2 linked regions of the Astyanax mexicanus genome follow. The protein of the gene in region 2 interacts with the protein of the main gene of each other region in a pairwise test. Links are inferred from orthologs where the notes say so. Each region holds a gene or a part of one and is shown on either strand. Other genes may lie near its edges.

What was found. The genes of interacting proteins can lie anywhere in the genome.
Region 1: the proteins of protein BANP (region 2) and mrrf interact in binary tests that used the Homo sapiens proteins (3 or more experiments, as listed by UniProt). The two-hybrid records come from large-scale screens. The link is inferred for Astyanax mexicanus from reciprocal best matches to the Homo sapiens genes BANP and MRRF.

What each region holds. Positions count from the first base shown.
Region 1 is NC_064427.1:16,584,338-16,594,659, reverse strand, and holds the start of mrrf (ribosome-recycling factor, mitochondrial), read right to left. Parts: upstream 5,128-10,322; 5' UTR 5,031-5,127; intron 1-5,030. Other genes in the region: rbm18 (probable RNA-binding protein 18), read left to right, coding at 7,666-7,772. UniProt on the Homo sapiens protein: Responsible for the disassembly of ribosomes from messenger RNA at the termination of mitochondrial protein biosynthesis. Acts in collaboration with GFM2. Promotes mitochondrial ribosome recycling by dissolution of intersubunit contacts.
Region 2 is NC_064409.1:62,587,991-62,598,661, reverse strand, and holds the start of protein BANP, read left to right. Parts: upstream 1-5,981; 5' UTR 5,982-6,189; intron 6,190-8,473; 5' UTR 8,474-8,479; coding exon 8,480-8,555; intron 8,556-8,965; coding exon 8,966-9,051; intron 9,052-9,209; coding exon 9,210-9,409; intron 9,410-9,595; coding exon 9,596-9,700; intron 9,701-10,476; coding exon 10,477-10,671. Other genes in the region: pdcd2l (programmed cell death protein 2-like), read left to right, coding at 2,826-2,989, 3,073-3,510, 4,685-4,798, 4,937-5,094, 5,337-5,467. UniProt on the Homo sapiens protein: Controls V(D)J recombination during T-cell development by repressing T-cell receptor (TCR) beta enhancer function. Binds to scaffold/matrix attachment region beta (S/MARbeta), an ATC-rich DNA sequence located upstream of the TCR beta enhancer.

The sequences.
Region 1 (10,322 bases), on a different chromosome or scaffold from region 2:
TGTGAGTGGGTTTTTGTGAAGAAAAGAAATTCTCGGTAACGTAGCTTAATTACCTGGATTTTAATTTAAGACTTTTTAAGGAACTGCAGAAACCCTGAATAACAATATTAATATCAAAATAAAAGTAAAAAAAACAGTATTGTGCTATCTCCAGGCTACCTTTATACCTATAATGTTTGGAAACTTCACTGTGTGTCTCATCGCTCGCTGTGTGTATGTGTGAGGTATCCCTCTAGTCAAAATAACCCTCCGCTTATTGTCTGAGAGTGACAGGCAGTGAGACGGGTCAGGCCCTCGTGTGTTTTCACAGTTGCCGTGCTCCGCCGTGTCAGTGACGGTCAGACGGCACGGGGGCTAAAAGCAGGCGCTGCCACTGCCGCCCCCAAAACAAGCGATTTTTATCAGGCCTGGATGACGGCGTGCGGCAGCTCGGATGAAAGCAGCAGCTGTTCTGGTTAAAAACAGATCAAACCTGAAAAGCTACTCTAACCATCAGAGCAGGACAAGAGGAGAAGACAGAGCAGGGGATGATGGCAGCTTTTAGAGCGCAGGTGAAGCGGAAAAACTGCTGCACAGGTGGTCTCAGACCTGACGGCCTGATTTCTCCAGCGCTCGACTGTGTGAGACGGGCTCATGAAAGAAGAGTTAGCAGGGACTGTAAAACATCACATTAGTATTAGTGGCTGTGAATAGGGATGGGTGATATTTGGCCATAAAATAGTATCACAATATTTCATAGTATTTTTGCAATAAAGATACTCTTGCCAATATGACAAAACACTGAATAAAAAAAAATTATAATAAAATCAAGAATACACTAATGCACTGCAAAAATGAAAATTCAATTTTATTTATTTCACACTCCTAACTGAGATGTTAAAAAATACAAGAATTTTATCAGATTTGTAACAGAAGTCAATGATCCAGAATGGACATATCACCAAAATACAACACAATATTTTATGGTATTTTCACAATAACGATACTCTTGCCGATATGGCAAAACACTGAATTAATAAAAAAAAAAAATCAAGAATACACTACTGTAACAAAGTAAATTATACTGGACAGATATAATCTGTCTCTGGTAGATATATAATGGGAAATGAGAACAGTGTATTTTTTTCTTTTGCTAAAAACTGTAAAAAAAAAAAAAAAAAAAAAAAAAAAAATTGTACCCTGACTTGATAATTAGGGGTGGGTGATATTTCAGGCTATAATATAGTTCACTATATTCAAAAATGATACTGAGACATTACGTGTAGCAGTAGTATGCCCACACTTTTCTTTAAATCACATCCAACTGAGATTAAGCATCTCCAGTCATGTGTAAAAATAGGACATTCCATGAAAATTGGGGTTTAAAACATGTTTAAACAATGACATTTGATCATTATGTGAACAATATTGAGAGATGGAGGTAATATACACTCCCCTCCAAAATATTGGAACAGTGAGGCCAATCTCTTTATTTCTGCTGTAGAGCTGAAAATATATTCATATTTAAAAAGATCAACTGATCAACATATTGTATAAACCAATTTCACTTTTCTCTTTTGTGATGATTTTTACATGCTTTCTTTGAACACACAATGTTTCTGTCATCAGCTGCTGTTTTTGGTCTACCTGTTTGACACCTTTTACGTAGTACACCAGTGACGACTTTCTTCTGGAGGTGGAGTATTCAACTAGAGTTTGTGTAAAATGTTTCACTACAAGCCAAGTCAATTTTACACCGTATTTCTCCATTAAGAATGGTTCTGTTCAATTTCAATTAATAGTAGGACTATGTAGAACTTATGACAATAGCATGAATCAAGTATAAAAATGTAGGAAAGCTCTTCTGAAGCTTGATCTTAAGTGTAAGCATGCACAACCCTGTAAATTCACAATAAACCAGAGACTGTAAAAAAAGATGGACGCCATGTCGCCGTTCCCATTCATTCAGTGAAAATGAAGCCAAAATCTTCTGCCATGTTGGCGATCCTGAAACCCGAGTCTGCGCAGTAGAGACCAGAGGAGGGAGAAAGACTGTAGAGATAGCCTACTCATTTAAATAACCCCGCCCCTGAGGGCTGCCTCGAGGTCACAGGCTGCAGAGTGTAGCGGAGTGGAGCTGACAGTCTGTTATTGGTCCCGCCCATAACCAGCCCTTTTACAATAACCACACCTTTTTTGAATAGAGCTGAATAACATTTTAAAAAACAAATTCTGTGGGTACAGTTGTGGTCAAAAGTTTACATACACTTGTAAAAAAACATAATGTTATGGCTGTCTTGAGTTTTCAATAAGTTCTACAACTCTTATTTTTCTGTGATAGAGTGATCGGAACACATACATGTTTGTCACAAAAAACAGTCATAAAATTTGGTTCTTTCATAAATTTATTATGGGTCTGCTGAAAATGTCACCAAATCTGCTGGGTCAAAAATATACATACAGCAACATTAGTATTTGGTTACATGTCCCTTGGCCATTTTCACGGCAACTAGGCGCTTTTGGTAGCCATCCACAAGCTCCTGGCAAGCTTCAGGTCGAATGTTTGACCACTCTTCTTGACAGAATTGGTGCAGTTCAGCTAAATGTGATGGTTTTCTTGCATGAACCCGTTTCTTTAGCACTGTCCACATGTTCTCAATGGGGTTTAAGTCAGGACTTTGGGAAGGCCATTCTAAAACCTTAATTCTAGCCTGGTTTAGCCATTCCTTTACCACTTTTGATGTGTGTTTTGGGTCATTGTCTTGTTGGAACACCCAACTGCGCCCAAGACCCAACCTTCGGGCTGATGGTTTTAAGTTTTCCTGCAGAATTTGGAGGTAATCCTCCTTCTTCATTATCCCATTTACTTTCTGCAAAGAACCAGTTCCACTGGCAGCAAAACATCCCCAGAGCATAATACTACCACCACCATGCTTGACAGTAGGCATGGTGTTCCTGGGATTAAAGGCCTCACCTTTTCTCCTCCAAACATATTGCTGGGTGTTGTGGCCAAACAGCTCAATTTTTGTTTCGTCTGACCAGAGAACTTTCCTCCAGAAGGTTTTATCTTTGTCCATGTGATCAGCAGCAAACTTCAGCCGAGTCTTAAGGTGCCTTTTCTGGAGCAAGGGCTTCTTTCTTGCACGGCAGCCTCTCAGTCCATGGCGATGTAAAACACGCTTGACTGTGGAGACTGACACCTGTGTTCCATCAGCTTCCAAATCCTTGCAGACCTGCTTCTTGGTGATTCTTGGTTGACTCTTGACCATCCTGACCAATCTCCTCTCGGCAGCATGTGATAGCTTGCGTTTTCTTCCTGATCGTGGCAGTGACACAACTGTTCCATGCACTTTATACTTGCGTATAATTGTCTGCACAGTTGCTCTTGGGACCTGTAGCTGCTTTGAAATGGCTCCAAGTGACTTCCCTGACTTGTTCAAGTCAATAATTCGCTTTTTCAGATCCACACTGAGTTCCTTTGACTTTCCCATTGTAGCTTTTGTAGCTGAGTCTAATCACTGGGTCAAATGAGCCCTATTTAAATGGGCTCATGAGAAGTCAACAGCTGTAGTCAATCAGAATCACTTACAAGAAGTGAAGAGGCCATGACATGAAGCTAATTTGATTGACACAACTCGCTACATCACCAAAATTGACAAATTTTGTTGCTGTATGTATATTTTTGACCCAGCAGATTTGGTGACATTTTCAGCAGACCCATAATAAATTTATGAAAGAACCAAATTTCATGACTGTTTTTTGTGACAAACATGTATGTGTTCCGATCACTCTATCACAGAAAAATAAGAGTTGTAGAACTTATTGAAAACTCAAGACAGCCATAACATTATGTTTTTTTACAAGTGTATGTAAACTTTTGACCACAACTGTATATACCATTTTCATAATATAAGCAGAGGTTACACTAGCTGTTGCATTGAAATAAAGGAGGTAGAGTTACAGTATATTAGAAAAAAACGTGATTGAAAGTTGTCTGTTTTGCAATTAAAACCTATAGGGATGGGTGGGGTTACGCAGCTTTCTGAAACCAAACAGCAGGGGGCGCCTGACCTGTGGTGGCTTTACTTTAGAGAGAGGATGCTCTGTCCAGCTATACACAGTCTATGCAATAAACACATAGACAGTGCCAATACTCACTTTAAACCCAATATCAGCTTATACAGCTGATTAAGGAGCAAGAAAGGTGACATCATGTTAAAAAAATAATGCATGGCCACTTCTGAAGGCATGGAAATGAGGTCCTAAGGCACGGAAACAAGATATTTTACGTTAATGCGTCAAAAGCAGATAATTAAGGCATAGGAATGAGTTAATTAAATTGTAGTCATTAAGGTGTGACCACAAGTTCCTTTTGTTCCACAGCTAACAAAGCGAGCAGCTCTCAGGGTTTGAGCCAATCAGCTTTTAGTATGAGAATTAAGTGTCTTTTACTTAGAATTATACCCCGTCTCACTGCAGGATACTCCAAAATATCACCATAATTCATTCAGAGACAAAAATAAAAATAAACCAGTTTACTCTGTTTTCTTACTAAATAATATTCTAGGATAAAAGGAGCTTTGATGTTATATTCAGTTTCTTTATGCTGATTAATTTAAAGAAATGCAAGCTTTATTATTCTCTGGCTATGACTTGATTATCCCGCTCCCACGTCTTGGTCTTCGTTATTTCATTCCCATGCATTAGGATCTCGTTCCCACATCTTAATAAGTTACAACTTCATCGTCTCATTCACATACATGCCTTAATTATCTCATTCCCATGCATTAGGATCATGTTTTTCACACCTTTGTGGCCACCCATTATTGTTTTCAAACATTGTGTCCCCTTAGAGGCTCCGTAGATAGCAGCATGCATCTGTGTGAATGTTGACAGCTCTAGGTTAGCTAGGTAGCTAACTAGCTCAGCTAACAAGCCCTATACTGCAGGTTAAACAGCGCACTGAAGCAGTGACCGCTATAATAATAAAGAGCTGTTTTTAGAGAAGCTCTGTAAGAGAAATAGAGCAGAATAGAGCTGTGAGTACTTACTGAACTCTCTCACAGCGCAGGTTTATCTCAGCATGCACTTTAATTCAGCACACGGGTCTACTGAAGGACACCGCGTGCAGAACGTCACCGGTTACTGGGCGCTTCGTCACCGCGCTGCGCATCAAACGTCACCGCTTTGTGTGTTCCTTTAAGAGCCGCTAGCTAGCGCTAAAGCTAATCGAGCTAACCGACTGATACAGCAGCGAGTCCGCGGGCGGATAAACCTCAGATTCAGCGGGGAAACAGCGGCATGGGGCGGGATTAACACACCAAGACTCCGCTGCGGTTTATAGGAAGGTTTTAAAGCGGCTGAAAGCGAGTTTACGGTGAGTATAAAAACAGAAATGCGGTAATAACATCAACCAGCACACAGCGGGAAGCTAAGCTAACCGGCTAACTATCCCTGTAAACAGCTAATGCTAGCTAACTACATTATACATCATATGGGTTAATATCTATCTATCTATCTGTCTGTCTGTCTGTCTGTCTGTCTGTCTGTCTGTCTGTCTGTCTGTCTGTCTGTCTATGATGTGAGTTAATTCGCTATGATGTTAGTTAATTCACTTTACTAGTTTATCCTTTCTCGCTATACCTATGTTATTTCTTTATCTATTTGTCTATCTGTCTGTCTGCATCGTTCATGATAAGTTAATTACTAGTTAATTATTTTTCTATCACTCTTTCACCTTTTCTGTCTGTCTGTCTGTCTGACTGGTTGTCTGTCATTGTTCTGTGTTAATGTTGTTCATAACAAGAATTTGTACTGTTTGGACAGTTCATTTGACCATTTCATTTATTAATAGTCCTAAACCCATCCTTTAATGATACTGGAACAATTTCCCTTGCACATATTTGGATAGCCTATGCGTGTATAGCCTATGATATATAATGTGTTATATATGTGTTATATATATAATGGGTTACTATTCTATATATTGTCAATATTTGCAATATATTGCAATACTGAAAGCAAAATAATATATCAGTTGTTAGAATTGAATAATAAAAAAAAAACCTTTAATAGGATAAAAACACCCTCATATTTCTAAAATATGAACGACAGAAAATTGTACTTTTTATTGTATCAGAAAAGTGTCATGACAACAGAAAACACCACCTCTTTCTAGTGGGCAAATAAACCACTGTGTCACATCAACCTTTACGTATAAACTAATAATTAAAAATCAGTACAATGGATTGTGTTTTGGAAATCAATACAGTATTGCAAAACAAAATATTGAGATGTGATACAATATTGATACTGATATTCTTATATACCTATATAGTTGGTTGCAGGGTAAAATCTTGTTAAGGCAGATTTCAACCCTGGTCATAGAGTAGTTCCATTACACATGTTTGCATTAAAGCCTGTCAATTCAGTGCCGTTCTTTGTAGAGAAGAAAGGGTATTCTGTGTCTAATAATGTGTTAAAGTTGGCATGTGGTTCATGGCATAGTGATTGAATAGACTACAAAACTATTTCAGTTATTACTGGTTCTAAACCCATCCTTTAGGATACAGAGTTCTAGCCATGATCCCAGAGTACTCCAGTTACACACATGTTTTTAAAAAAGTCTCAATTCAGTGGTTTGTGTTTGGAGAATAAAAGGGTTTTCTAAGTCTAACACAATATTAAAGCTGGCATGCAGTTCATGGCACAGACCAGTGGACCATTTCTGTTGTCTTTCAAATTCATCTTTTAGGTTGCAGATTTTAACCTTGGTCATTAAACTCTTGAGCTTAGACTCTGTGCCCCATTTTAATGCTATTTTATTGTATGTAAAGCTCTGGTGTAATAATCACAATATAGCAAAGTAACAAATCAAACTGTGTTTCAAATAAAAAAAATAAATAAAAAAGTTAGAATGTTGTAATTACACAGCTCTGGAACTGGAACACTTCAGCTTCTCTTCTTGTCTGCGCATATCTTCATTGTTGTTTTATGTGTTTTGCATGTAGACTATATGCATAAAATAAAATAAAAATGTTCAGAAAGTTTTATATTCTTAATCATTGTAAATTATATTAGAGTAGACAAAAGTCATTGCGAATTATGTTATTGTTCTGGGTCTATTTAGGTTTATTGAGTGTGCCTTGTTTTTTTTTTTGCACTAATGCTATATTTTTAACTTAAAAAAAGTGGTTTGTTCAGAAAGTGTTTTATATTCTTAGAAATTGTTAATTATATTAGAGTAGACGGGAGGTTCTTAATCAACATTGTTCTTAAATAAAAGGCCTATGCTTCTTCAGTGGTGCAATATTAATTAACATAATTCTGAACATATTCAGAACATTATTTAAACTGTCAGAAAATGTTTTTAAGAAGCTCAGTCTTAAAGCTCTACTTACATGTATTGTATAAATCGAATTTGGGCTCACAAAAACAGTTTTGTGGGTCGGGTTGGGTTTGGGCAGGACGTTAACAGGCTCGGGTCATGTCGGGCTGGATTTTTTGTGCGTGATCTAAGCTCTACTAATTTCTCTGTGCCCTCCACATTTGTGTGTTTTCTTGTTGTAATACAGCTGTTTTACCTTAGGAAAGACTTGATTATTAACGCAGTTGTTGGATCAGGTGTGCTAGGAGGACTAGATAACCAATTGTCTGTATTTCTTCTTGGCTTAATCCAGGAACCCGATGCAGTCAGCTGCAGAGACAGTGGAGAATGCCTCCATCCTTTCGAGCGGCTCCTCGCAGGAAGGCCATCGCCTGTGGATCGGCAATATCGACCCCAAAATCACAGAGTGAGTACCTCTACATCAACAGGGTTTACCAGTTATCCACATTTATTGGGTTGTTATTAAGATTAAGTGTAATTTACTGCCAATTCACAGCAGTAAGCTGGGCGAACTTCACGACCGAAGACACTACGTGACCACGCCTGTGATTGGTCGTTGCAGTTGTGTTTATTTTTTTATAGCTATATATATATATATATATATATGAATATGAATATATATATATATATATATATATATATATATATATATATATATATATATATATATATATATTCAGTTCTGGTGGAAACAGGAGAGTTGAGGTGCACATTGAATTCTGCCGTGATTTGGGCAGCCGTGGTTTTATTTTTTTTGGATACAATCTAGGTTAGCACCCGAACATCCCTTTCAGACAGCTTCCTCTTGCATCCACAGTTAATCCTGTTGGATGTGGTTGGTCCTTCTTGGTGGTATGCTGACATTACCCTGGATACCGTGGCTCTTGATACATCACAAAGACTATTATTTATATATATATATATATATATATATATATATATATATATATATATATATATATATATATATATATAATATAAAATACTAATACTAATATTATTAGTATTATTATTATTATTATTATTATTTTATTTTTATTTTTTTAAGCTGGGTTCTGGAGAAGAAACAGACCTCTCCACTCTTCTATGTTTGGTCAAATCTGGTGAAACTCATTTAGAAGCTTTTGATCATTAATCAATGAATGGTTGAATAATTTATAGCATATTAAAAGATGTTTAACAGGTTATAGAGAGAGTTTAGATGTGTTCAACAGTTGCAAACACTTATAATAATAAATAGTAGGGCTGCAGCTATCGGTTATTTTAGCAATCGAGTACTCTACTGAAAAATTGATTCGATTAATCGAGTAATCAGACAAAACATAAAATAAGAGATTTCATAAAATAAGAAATTTCCCTTAATAATGAATGACCAGTTGGTTTAATTTTTTAATTCACAACATACATTTCCACATTGCCACATTGCAAAGACAAATAGAAATAAGTAAAACACAAAATAGACATAAATACATGCGTTTTAAGATTGATTAAACAATTACTTGAGGCACAAAAAATTAATCTATCAATTTTTTTTAATCGAGTAACTCGAATTAATCGTTTCACCCCTAATAAATAATATGTCAATGTCTTGGTACTGTATTGAAATGGCTATGCACTTACTAGCCCAAGGGGGAGGCCCTAGACCGGGCAGTTGGCCGTGAGCCCTGGCTGCCCGGGTGATTGATTAGCTGAGTGTGCGCGTGTTGCGTTGGAGAATGAGCAGACGACGGCGGGGCGTGTGAAAGAGGACCATTCGTGCATGGAGACCTGCTCTGCTCAGGGGCTCCCATCGTTTCCTAGTCACCTGGCATGTTTACACTGTCAACCTGTGGCCACTGCGTAAGGTGGAGGGGTGGAGAGGAGGACACCGTAAGAACGATGGAAGGAGGGATGGAGGGAGTAATGGAAGGAGGAAGAGAAAGTCAGGGAGAGCCGCAGGTTGAGAGGGGGGCTGCTGGAAAATGTACGGCTGGCCTGGACCGGCGTCTAGACAGCCGTTTCCTTCCCACTCGATCCGCTGTTTTTCTTTAAATAACCTGCGCGAATGAAAACAGCCGCGATGCCCACGGGCTGGTGTTTGGGAAGATTAATTAGTTCACATGCTGGACGTGTTTGTTGTTGCGAAATCTCCCTCAGAGTCGTACGGGTGCGCAGGGCGAGTGGTGAAAATCCTGCTGTGTGAGGTCACCGCTCACCTAGTGTGGTTTTGCTTTCCCTGAGGTTTCCAAGTAAGTGGATAATTGAGAGCACTATTGGAGTTTTGTGGTAAAAAAGAGGATTTGTAATTTCTGGGCTGTAGCTTACGCAGGCGTCATGGCATCAGGGTGATGGATGGGGCCATGAAGAAGATGAGGTGGAAGGTGAAAGTCAATTGGTCCCTGGAACACAACACATTTTTTACACGAGTGTTTCTGGCTTTAGTATGCTATATAGAGAACAGTGGTGTGCCGTATCGTATCATACCAGTGTTCATTTTGACAACAAATTTTGATTTAGTTTTAGTCATAGTCTTGTGAAGAAAATAGCATTTAGTTTTAGTCATAATTTAGTCATCTGAAATGTTTTTAGTTTTAGTCGACTAAATATCATAAGAATGTATTCAACTAAAACTTAGTTGAATAAAATGTAAAGGGTGTAAAAATGTAAATGCTTTTTCATCAGTTCCCTTGAATGATTAACTACACACTTATACAAAATGAAACATTTATTAACCCCTTGTGTAATATTAATGTTTGAATGTGAAATATATTTATATATGATTTAATGTATATTATTGTTGTAGGTATGTGACTATAAATAAAATAAATTCTTATATTAATGAGTGAGTGAATCTGTATCAGAAACGTTAACGTTACGGAACAGCAGTGGTGTGTTTCAGTGCACAGTCGAGTTAAACACACCATTGGCTCATGAAATATCATTAGCATTTAAACGCTGATCTCTGCAAGGAGATCTG
Region 2 (10,671 bases):
AAGGGCTTGTTTTTTAATAGGGAACAAATGTTCAGACCCCAGTCAGAGAGAGACAGCTAACTAGCCAGCTTATTAATTCTGATTTTTGAGCGTTCCAGTCAATTTAAATGAGCCATTCGGCCATTAAAAGTTTTCTGGTCACGCTAAGACGAGCTAAGTTAACTAAACTAACGTTAGGTTAGCTAACATAGCTTGCTAGCAGGTTTTGTGAGGACCTGACAGACGCAGTGACAGCTCCATTAGCCGGTGTTCTGTCGAATTTTCCTACCCATCGATACATGCTTCCCAAAGGTACTGCGCATGCGCCGACCTACACAATTTAATTATTTCTCGAGTTTTATGTATAATTACTCGGGTTTAGGGGGGTTTATATGCATTAAACGACCTGGACGCACTATCATTGCACAAAAGTGTAAATGGAAACTAAAAATTACACTTATTATCATAAATAAATACAAAAGCAGTTTGTAATGAGCTATATTTACTATAGCTTTGCCATGGTACAATGAATTATGCAATCCAAATCTAATAACGTACATCTACTGGAATATCACTGGGTACATGCCCTAAAATAGTGCTTCTTTTGTATTTTTACAGTTAAATATACATTTGGGCAGCACGGTTCGACAAGGTAGCAGAATTCGACAGAACACCGGTGTTCTGTCGAGTTGTGCTGCCTTGCCAAACATTGCTATCCTAGTAGTATTTCATTTTTAAAATGTTAAAAATACAAAAAAGCACCATATTAGAAACCGTATTAGAAAATACTCTCAGACAAATTCTAGATAGGCTATGTAGATTGGCTAAATCGCTGTACAAAGTAAAGTTTAAAAAGTTAAGGTCATAACGTTACGTGATGAGAAACGTGCATTTTTCATTTTATTGTTTTATAGTTTATTATTATTATTAACGACTATTTACAGTGTTTTTATTATGCTAGCAGGTTGTTTAATGCTCCCAATAAAAATGTTAGGAATTATCATGAAAAACGTGGAAATATATATAAAAAAATGTTTGTTGGCGCATGCGCAGTGTCGTAAAGGAGCGACAGTAAGACAGTAAGAGAAAAAAAACTTCTACACAAAAAAACTGCTTTTTTATTTACAAAGGTTATTTTTGTTTGATATTAAAGTTTGTTTGGTAATCTGAAAATGAATATGACAAAAAAAAAGCAAAAATGAAAGAAATCTTTGTGGAGGCGAATCCTTTTTCACGGAACGCATTACTCATTTACTCAAGTGAATGAAAAAGTAGTTTAGACAGGATCTTAGTAGTTTAGTTGATATCCACTGTGTTACTGTCAATGGTATACATTACCTCAAATGACTGAAGTATCAAACGTGTAGTTTTTTTAATTTATTTTGATCTGGTATCGGAGGTATCGATATTTCAGTATCGGTCTGCAAATCATTAGTGTTAACACAGTTTCGGTTCGTATTTAAGTATTTTTCAGATATTTTATAACATTTAAATATCTTTGCTAGTGATGTTTAACCTTTGTGTACAGTTAATATGTTTTAATAGTCAAACAAGCACACATGCAGCTATACTAACCTAACTGGATAGCATGCAGTAGCATTAGTTTACAGGTTCAGGTAAATAGCAGGACATACACCATATAAACAACAAATTGGTACAATTGCTTAATCCTTGTTACTTTTGAAATCAAAGATATTAAAATTAGTTTATGCTAATTCTGTTTAAGAAACTGACTGCTATTCAGACAAGTCATTTCACTATGATTAGGATTACACTTATTTTGGAACACTGCAGTGAGAATTTGATTACATTATGTGTCAGAATGGTCAGTATGCAGGATGTTGGATGATTACCACCCTATCTGACTTCATCCCCAACTTTTCAACTCATCCTAAAAGTATTAAACAATACTGGAGGACTTTTACACTTTTATAACAATACATGTCTCCAAAAAGTCCTATTCTGTTGGCAGTACTTATTTAAAGAGACTAGACAAGCACCCCAATGGGTACAGCTTGAAGTAAATAGTATTCAAGATTCAAGAGATTCAAGATTCAAAGAGTTTATTGTCATATGTACAGTACAGAAACGGGTTTCAGTGTACAATGAAATTCTTTCTTTGCTCTTCGCCAAGAATGCCAAATAGAAGATAGAAAAAGTGCAAAAAAATACAATAAGGTTATAAATATTAAACTAATTGTCAAAGACATAAAAAAATAAAAGTTACTTAAGCAAAGAAATGTATAAAAAAAAGTGCAAGTGCGAAATAATGCAGTTATGGACATTAACTATATATATTAAAAAAAGATTAACAGTAAAGTGACGGCTGCAATGTAAACATGTTGAAGTAAAGTGAAGGGTTATTCCTGAGTTGTGTTCAAGAGTCTGATCGCAGGGTTATACCTGAGGTGTGTTTAGAGTCTGAAGGCAGGGTCATTCCTTAGGTGTGTTCAAGAGTCTGATGGCCGTGGGGAAGAAACTGTTCTTTAACCTGGTGGTCTTGCATTTTACACTTCTGTACCTCCGGCCTGAGGGCAGAAGTGTGAACAGTCCATGCTGGGGATGGGTGGAGTCTTTGAGGATGGATGCAGCTCTCCTGTGGACTCTGTGGTGGTAGATGCTCTGCAAGGAGGGCAGTGGAGTCCTGATGATCTTCTCGGCAGTCTTCACCACAGAATGCATTTAAAAAAAGATGGCAGTTTGGCATTTTATTTTCCATGACAGAGATTCTCCCCAATATATTATATATATATAGAGAGTTTCAGTACAAAATCAGGGTATTAAAAGTAGCACTGACAATATAGGTTTACATTGATTATCTTGCATGTGATGTATGTTTATTACAGGACCTGATTCCTGGTATTTCTGCTACATATTACCGGTGTGCTCTGTGTGATGGGATCCTCACTCATGTCGTGCAGATCTACTGCCCTCTTGCTGCGTCTCCATATCACCGCACCATTAATGTGTTTGCTTGCACTAATCCACAGTGTTATGGCAAGCCAGAAAGGTAAATTATCATTTTCATATTAATTAAGACACAGTTTACGCTGTTGCCCAATATTTATTCTGGTGGCTTCTTCTTGTGTCTAGCTGGAAAGTTCTGCGTTCGCAGTGCTTGGAGTCTGAAATGAAGGACATCAATAAAGATAATCAGCAGGTGAAACAAGCCCCGGTGTTCGCAACAGACTGGTGTGATGAGGCCGATGACTGGGGGATGGAAGCTGAGGACAGTGAAGCTGAGATCTGTCCACACACTAATCTAGACACAGCTCAGACAGTGACAGAGAGACAGCCGGACACACAAACAGCTGGACCAGTCGACAGTATTGGACTTGAGGGCCTCTGTTTAAATGGATCAGGGGACAGGGAATGTGCCGTAGCTCCTACTGCAGTACCCACTTTTCAGTCATTTTACATCAGTGTGGCGGAGGAGACAGACTTAGTGGGCCAGAACAATGTGGAACATGCTAACAAACTTTTGAAGGAATATCAGGAGAGGGAGGGAGTTGCTGTTGGAGAGCTTGAAAGGTGAGGACATTTTTTGAATGGCTTGCGAAAGCTAACAAGGCACCCCTGAAAAACAACTAATTTGATCTTATTTCCACTACATTTTAAAAGTTGACAGTTTTAAACTATAATGAATTCTAGTGATTTCAGAAGTGCATGCTAATTTATAAATAAACACAGCAGTGCTGACTGGTTGTTTTTGCCCCGCCTGTTCACAATTCACCTGTAGCGTGATCCTTGCCAATGAAACCAAAATGAGGAGCTAATTAGAAATGTTCTGTTGTTAAAAAAACAAAACAAACAAACATATGTTTTAAAGTTACCGCCGCGGCTGACTTTTGCCAATTCAAGTGTAGATATAATTTCAAACAGATGGAGCTAAATCACAAGTCAAGCAGGCTGCGGCACAGTAAAGTGTAGCTATTTAATTGTATTTAATTTAACAGATGAATTACAACTGTCATGTAAACAAAGTGAATGGTACAAATGAATATATATCATACTTTATGTATAAACTACTAGCAATGGATAGTCAGACTGAAATTTGATTGCTGTGTGGGATAGAATATGAAAAACCACTCATTACATAGTAACATTGCTTCAGCCTCTTTCTGTGCTATGCTAAAGACGGTTGCTAGCCTAAAATGTACCACTAATAGTTTTTCGCTTTTTTGTGCATTTTTGCATTAATCCGAACTTGGAGAAGGCACCAGTTTCGGCTGATTAACTCAACAATAACGTACTGCATGGGGAGTTTTGTTTTTGTTTTGGTTGTGTCTTGGAGAAAAGGATTTATTTATCACCTCCAGAAGGGTTTGCGCAATCGAATTTGAACCTCTTTTAAATGTGTCTTAGTTGCGTTAACACTTGCATTCTTAACTGAGGATCAATGATGGATCTTTACCTGAATGCATTTTTACATTTTACTAGGTTAATGTGAAGGAAATCTATGACATGATACTTTGTGTGTAAATACATTATCCTTAAAAAAAAACACAGGACAGGACAATAGTGCATGTTAAATTGGTTGCTTTAAAATAATAAATAATTAAGCACAAAGTATTTCAGTTTTATTGTCAGATTCTGCTTTTGTGTTATACTTTCAATTCTTTACATTTTTTCAAATAATAAATATTCAAATATATATTTTTTTCTCTTGAAATAAATTTTCCTCGTATTTTGAATTTTTATTCAGTTGTGAAGGAGAAGGAAGAGGGGAGAAGTATGAGAAGGCAGAACCCAAACACGGAGATGCCTTCTTCTCCAATTTCATGAAAAGAATATCTCTCTGTCCAGAACAAGTTCTTCGGTGAGTGGATTGCAAAGGAAACAGTAGCAAGTCCCTAGTAAACAATAACTAACTACAAGATTTATATCTGTATGAGCTGATTTTAATGTAAATACTTTGATGTTTTATTAATATATGCTCTGTTATAATATGTTGCAGATACAGTTGGAGAGGCTCACCTTTGTTTATATGTGAACGTCCTTCAAATATTCATCAGATGGAGCCACCCTGTGCACAGTGTGGCAGTCCTAGAGTTTTTGAATTTCAGCTCATGCCTGCACTCGTCAGTTTGCTTCGTAGTACAGATTTAAGTTCAGGTTTGTCTGACTTAGCTCTTGTTTTTTCAGTATATGTTAAATACAGAGACCATGCTGGTTGTATCCTGTGTCAAAAATTATGAGAGCTTTGCTACATTTACTTGTTTTCTTTAAAACAGAAGTAGATGATATGTGTATAGTTTATATAATTTTTTGTGGCCTTTAGACACTGCGATAATACAAATCATAAATTATTAATTTCTGTATTGATTCTGGTGTTTTCCTCCTTTGTACTTCTTCAGAGCTCGTTTTGGAGTTTGGGACAGTGATGGTCTACACCTGCAGAGAGAGCTGCTGGACTTCTGGATCGAACACACCTGTTGAGGAATTCCTTTTAGTACAAGCTGACCCTGATCAAAAGCTGTTCAAATGACATGATGTATAATAAAGAGCATACCAAAATATCATATTTCTTTTTTTTTTATTATAACTTAATGTAGGATTTAGTATGCATGCAGTATCATGCGGAAGTCAACCAACACTGCTTTATTCAGGCTATTTGACTTACTCTTTTGATGAGGACATATTTCTGAATTGTTTTGACAAAATCCATGGGATAAGCAGTGATTGGACTGTGGGCAGATGTTAAGTCAAGAGGCTTTTACATTTTTTACAGATTCCTCGATTTTCTTGTTTTGGGTACATGCTCCAGGGTAAGCAATGAATTTATTATCATTAACAGCGGTTTAATTATGTCTGGTAGTACGGGTTTTAGTAATTTTGTGGGAACTGTTTCGAGTGTGCAGGTTGTGCTGCTTGATGAGGAGATAATTTTCTCTATTTCTAGCTGCGGAAGTGAGTTAAAAACGTTTTGTTTTATATCAGCCATACATTCCACGCATATATCGAAGTATTGAATGTGAATAATTTCGACACCTTTGTCCCTGGCCTGTGTGAGAAATTGGCCCTGTATGGAGGGGGGTAGTTATGAGGCCTGCATGCGGTGCTGCAGTGCCCGGCTCCTCCTGGTTCTTCACGGGAGCGCAGTTGAGCTCAGAGACGAGACCCGAGTTCATGAGCAGACTTCATCTCTCGCGAGGAAGGACGCCATTATCGGAATCCCTACAAACAACACGAGAATTCATCCTTCTCACGGTAATATAACCCGCTCTGAAGCCCCGCCGCGCGCACAGTGCTGCGGGCAAGGCGGCGCCGGGCGCTTAATTCACGCGTTTTTCATTTTCATTTTTTATTGTTTTCTTTCGCGCCTCATTCATGTTTCAGCAGAGAGGGCTAGTAGGACTGCGGCTCCGGGCCTGGAGCCGTTTCCTCTCTCTGAGTCTTTCAATATTGTTGAACATTGGAGCAAGTTAGCAGGAGCTGGCTAAAGCTACCTAACGTTAGCTGTGTTTATCTTCGCGGGCAGAGAGCGGAGTGTAGCCCCAGACCTAGTAACTGTAGCTACCGGCGGGGACTAACCTACTTAACTAACTAACCAATTTTAGAGCATAAACACGGCTTTTATGGGTTAAAATACGCTGCTGTCGCTGACCAAATTAAATACTTACAACAGAACAATTTGTACTGAATGACCGTGGCTAACTGGCTAGCTAGTTAGTTAGCTTAGCATTTAGTTTAGCATAGGGAGAAATCCAGGTCCAGGAAGTAAAAATCCAGCCCGGGATTTTATTATTTTTTTAGAGTTGTCTAAGCAGCTGGAGCGAAGTCATGGACAGGATTTTTATTTTTTGGATTTTTATTTGTTAAACCACCACAAATGTTAAGCTATCATTTGCCTAGCTAACGTTGGTGTGTGACCTTCTTGGTTAACTGTAACTTATATAGACGAAATGCTTAATTCTGCCATAACAGCATTTGCATTTAACATAAGTAAACAATAAGTAACGATTTAATAAAATGGAGGTAATTAATAAACTAGTGTTTGTATCAGCTGATTGTAATCCACACCTTCTTCACACCCATCTTTCCCATAGTCTATCCTCCTCTGCCCATTCATCAGTCCACAGCTAGCTAATCTTGCTAATTAACTGTATTGCTATTAATTCACATTTTATTATTTAGTTTTAATGATTTTCTACTCAAATAAAAGTTTTTTTTCTACATACACGTTATCTGATTCTGGTGTGAATCATGTGACCTAATACGAATTTCATAAAGCATGCTTATGTAGAAACAAAAAAAATCCATATAAATCTAACGTTATTCACATTCACAAAATAACTAAAGACATTGTAAAAGCACTTCAAACAGAAACTTAGATAGGAACTTAAGCAAAATTGGTGCATCTCAGCCCTGGAGCACCCCCTGCCCCCCTCTCCTAGTAAACCTTATTCAACAAATCAGTTTTATTAATAAAAGGGTGTAGAATCCCCTTTCAAAATTGTTACGATATTTTTTAAAAACAGATTTGGACTGCTGTTTATGAAGATGCAAAAAGATTAAAAAAAGATTCACATTCGCAAAATATTTGCTTTGCATTTCAAAAGATTTATAACTACAAAAAAGCTTGCATCACTTTTACAATTTTATTTGAACCTATGCGAAGGTCAGAGAATTCTCACAAGGACTGTTGCATTTAACAGTCATTTGCAGCCAGTTACATTGTCCTTTCCCCACCAAAGCACTGTGGTTCAGGGCACTTAACAAAGAGGGTAAAAAATGGATTTGTTGAATTATAAAGTTTCATTTAAAGCTGGCAACATTGGTAAGAAAAGATAGCTAAAGTTAAATAAATAAAATATAAAACTTAAAGAGTAAAAATAGATAATACCACTGAAAAAAATATTTTAAGGTTTATCCCAATTAACAAACCTCAGAAAGCAAAACTAGCTCTCCACAGTGAGCTAAACTACACAGAAATACAGGGATGGGTAACTAACCTCTTGAGTAGTAAGCGTCTTTAAAAAAGGAAAACCACCAAATTAAAGAAGGCTAATATATTAGAAACTTTGCCCCATATATGTGAGGAAGTGCTGTTGTCAAGAGAAGGTGTCACAATATGCAAAGATTACACTATATTTTTTCCTGGAACATAACAAACGTCATATTTTGTTCAGAGGTAATAAGAAAAACAAATGAAAACCAAACATTTAAATACAATTCTAATTTTGTTAGAAGCCAGATAAAATAAATGTGAAATATATGTATTTTAGGGGTTTTATTTCTTACTTTTGTATTGTGCAGTGGAAATATTGTGGCATGTTTTACTGATTTGAAATAAATATGTTTGACATCTTTAAGTAGCCTAAATGTAACATTTCAATTCAGATTGTGTATTAACAATCTGACCAATGGTGTGTTGCTGCATGTAAAACATGTATGTGCTTCAAATGAGTTTATAAAAGCAAACACCAGACAGTTCATCAGTTGTTCCTTAACTGTAAATAGTCACACAAACCAAATTTCTTTGCTTTTTTAGGTGTGAATGATGTCCGAGCAGGATCTGGTGGAGATAGTCCAGATTGCTGTGGCAGATCTAAATCATGAGGAACATGATGCAGGTAAGAGAATTGTTTAACTGCCTCTGGTATTTAAATGTTCAAGATAGTCTGTAGGATTACATCGGTTTACAAGTCCTTAATACATGTGTCTTTAAACTTTGTTTTTAGGCTGTTTATTTTCCTTTGACCCTGCAGCCATATTCTCCTTTGCCCTTTTCTTTAAAAAAGTTTTATGAGGCCTGTTTATAAGGCCTGGTGCCTCTATATTTAGCCACTAAAAACCTCCCTCACTGCTCTTATGAATTTTCCCTTCTCCTAGTGCATGTACTGTATATATACTTACTTTTTGACATAATAGCAAATGCCCTAAACTTTAGTATTTTTTAGTATTCTGTGTTTTATAGTTTTTCAACACTGTGGCAGCTGTTTACTATGTGTTGTTTAACATTGCTGTATGTGTATTGGATTAGATGTGTTGGAAAACCATGAAGAGGCTGACAAACCTGAGCGAAAACGAGCGAGGATGGAAAGTAGTAATCAAGATGCAACTCTAAAGGTGAGAACAGCACTTGAGTTTCACTGCTTATTACTACACCATTACTGTGTTCTGTGATTAATTGATGAATGAAAACTTAAACAAGAAGGTAATGTCATGTTTAGATTTGTTTGGTAATTGATTTACATAATTTTCTGTCTGTCATTGCCTCTCTTTAGACAATGCTCGTGTCTATTAGTCAGGCCATCTGCCAAAGGCTGGATAGCATGGAGACCAAGCTCCAGGTGCTGGAGGCTACATGTCGGGCCCTAGAAGAGAAGCTTGACACAGTAATGGGCAAAAACCAGGGACCTATCCGTGTCCCCATGGTGGCTGGATCTCCTTTTGGTGCAACACAAACCTGTGACAAGGTTCGCTGGTGAGTTTGTAGTGGACTTGGTTCACCAGCAAAATGAAAAACAAGTTTCTCATGGTTTTCCTTGCCATTAATGTTTTCTGAGTCAAAAAGGTTCACATTTACCAACTGACTCACTCAGTTTCATGTTGAGCTGGGACTAATTATCACTTTCTCATTTACTTGTTCCATATTGTTGCGTGTTCTCAGTATGGTGCCCCAGACCAATGTGGTAGTGAGTGGTGAGCGTGCTAAAGCAAGCCAGGAGGAGGCACTCCCACGCACAACAGACTCTCTGGAGAACTTACTCAGCAAGTAGGTCTCAAACATCTTTCAGTTCTTTAAATAGTTTCAGTCGAATGTAAATATTCACCAATAAATCTATTAGTGATTTGTTTATTAAAGGTGCCCTTCTGTTTTAAAAGTTTACAACCCACGCCAGTTACACAGAGCTGTGAAACAGGCCAGTTCAAACTAACTCATGATTGTTAGGTAACAGTCCTGGATTAAACATATTTACCATACTGTAGGAGTTTTACCCATCAAAAAAAAACCCACCAGTCAATTTGACTGGGCTACAGTACATTTGGTTTGTTTAGATTTAAAATGGCATAATATATTTTCTTGAGGGCCATGGAACGTTTTGTGGTGGGTTAAGTGAGCCACGAATTGCAAAACGTTGGGAGCCCCTAATGTAAACCATCCAGTAAAAGAGAATTTAATCAATTTTTTCATGAGCTTTCCAAAAAAAGAGAAACAGACATTTCATTCTGAGACAAAATGACAGGGTTTTAAATGGGCTTGTAAACCACATCTATACGTTTTTGTCTTTAGTGACATGATTTCTATTTAAACATCAAAGAATGAAATTTATTCTATGTAATAGTATTAATATTCAGTAAATGCATTCTTAGGCACCTTTAATATCTAGTAAGCTTTTCTGAGAATGGTTTTAGACTTTAACAGTAAATATAAATACGCAGTAAGACCTATAATTAAAAGACGTTCATTTACTATCCAGCTATATTTCCAGATTTTGTGGTGTCAGAATTTATGTAACAGATGCAATATTTATTTCTGATTTTGCCCAGAGCTCTTGACTTACCCAGACTTCAACCTGTTGAGTCTGGAGCCAAAATGTCCAATGCTAGTGACTTTGAGCCATTAACAGTTGACTGTTTGGCTGGCAGCACGGTAGGCAGAGGAAGACAAAAAACGATTGTTCTGAAGGTTCCGGCACCAGAAGAGAGCCAAGAGGAGCAAGACAGTGGCTCTGAGGCCAGTGA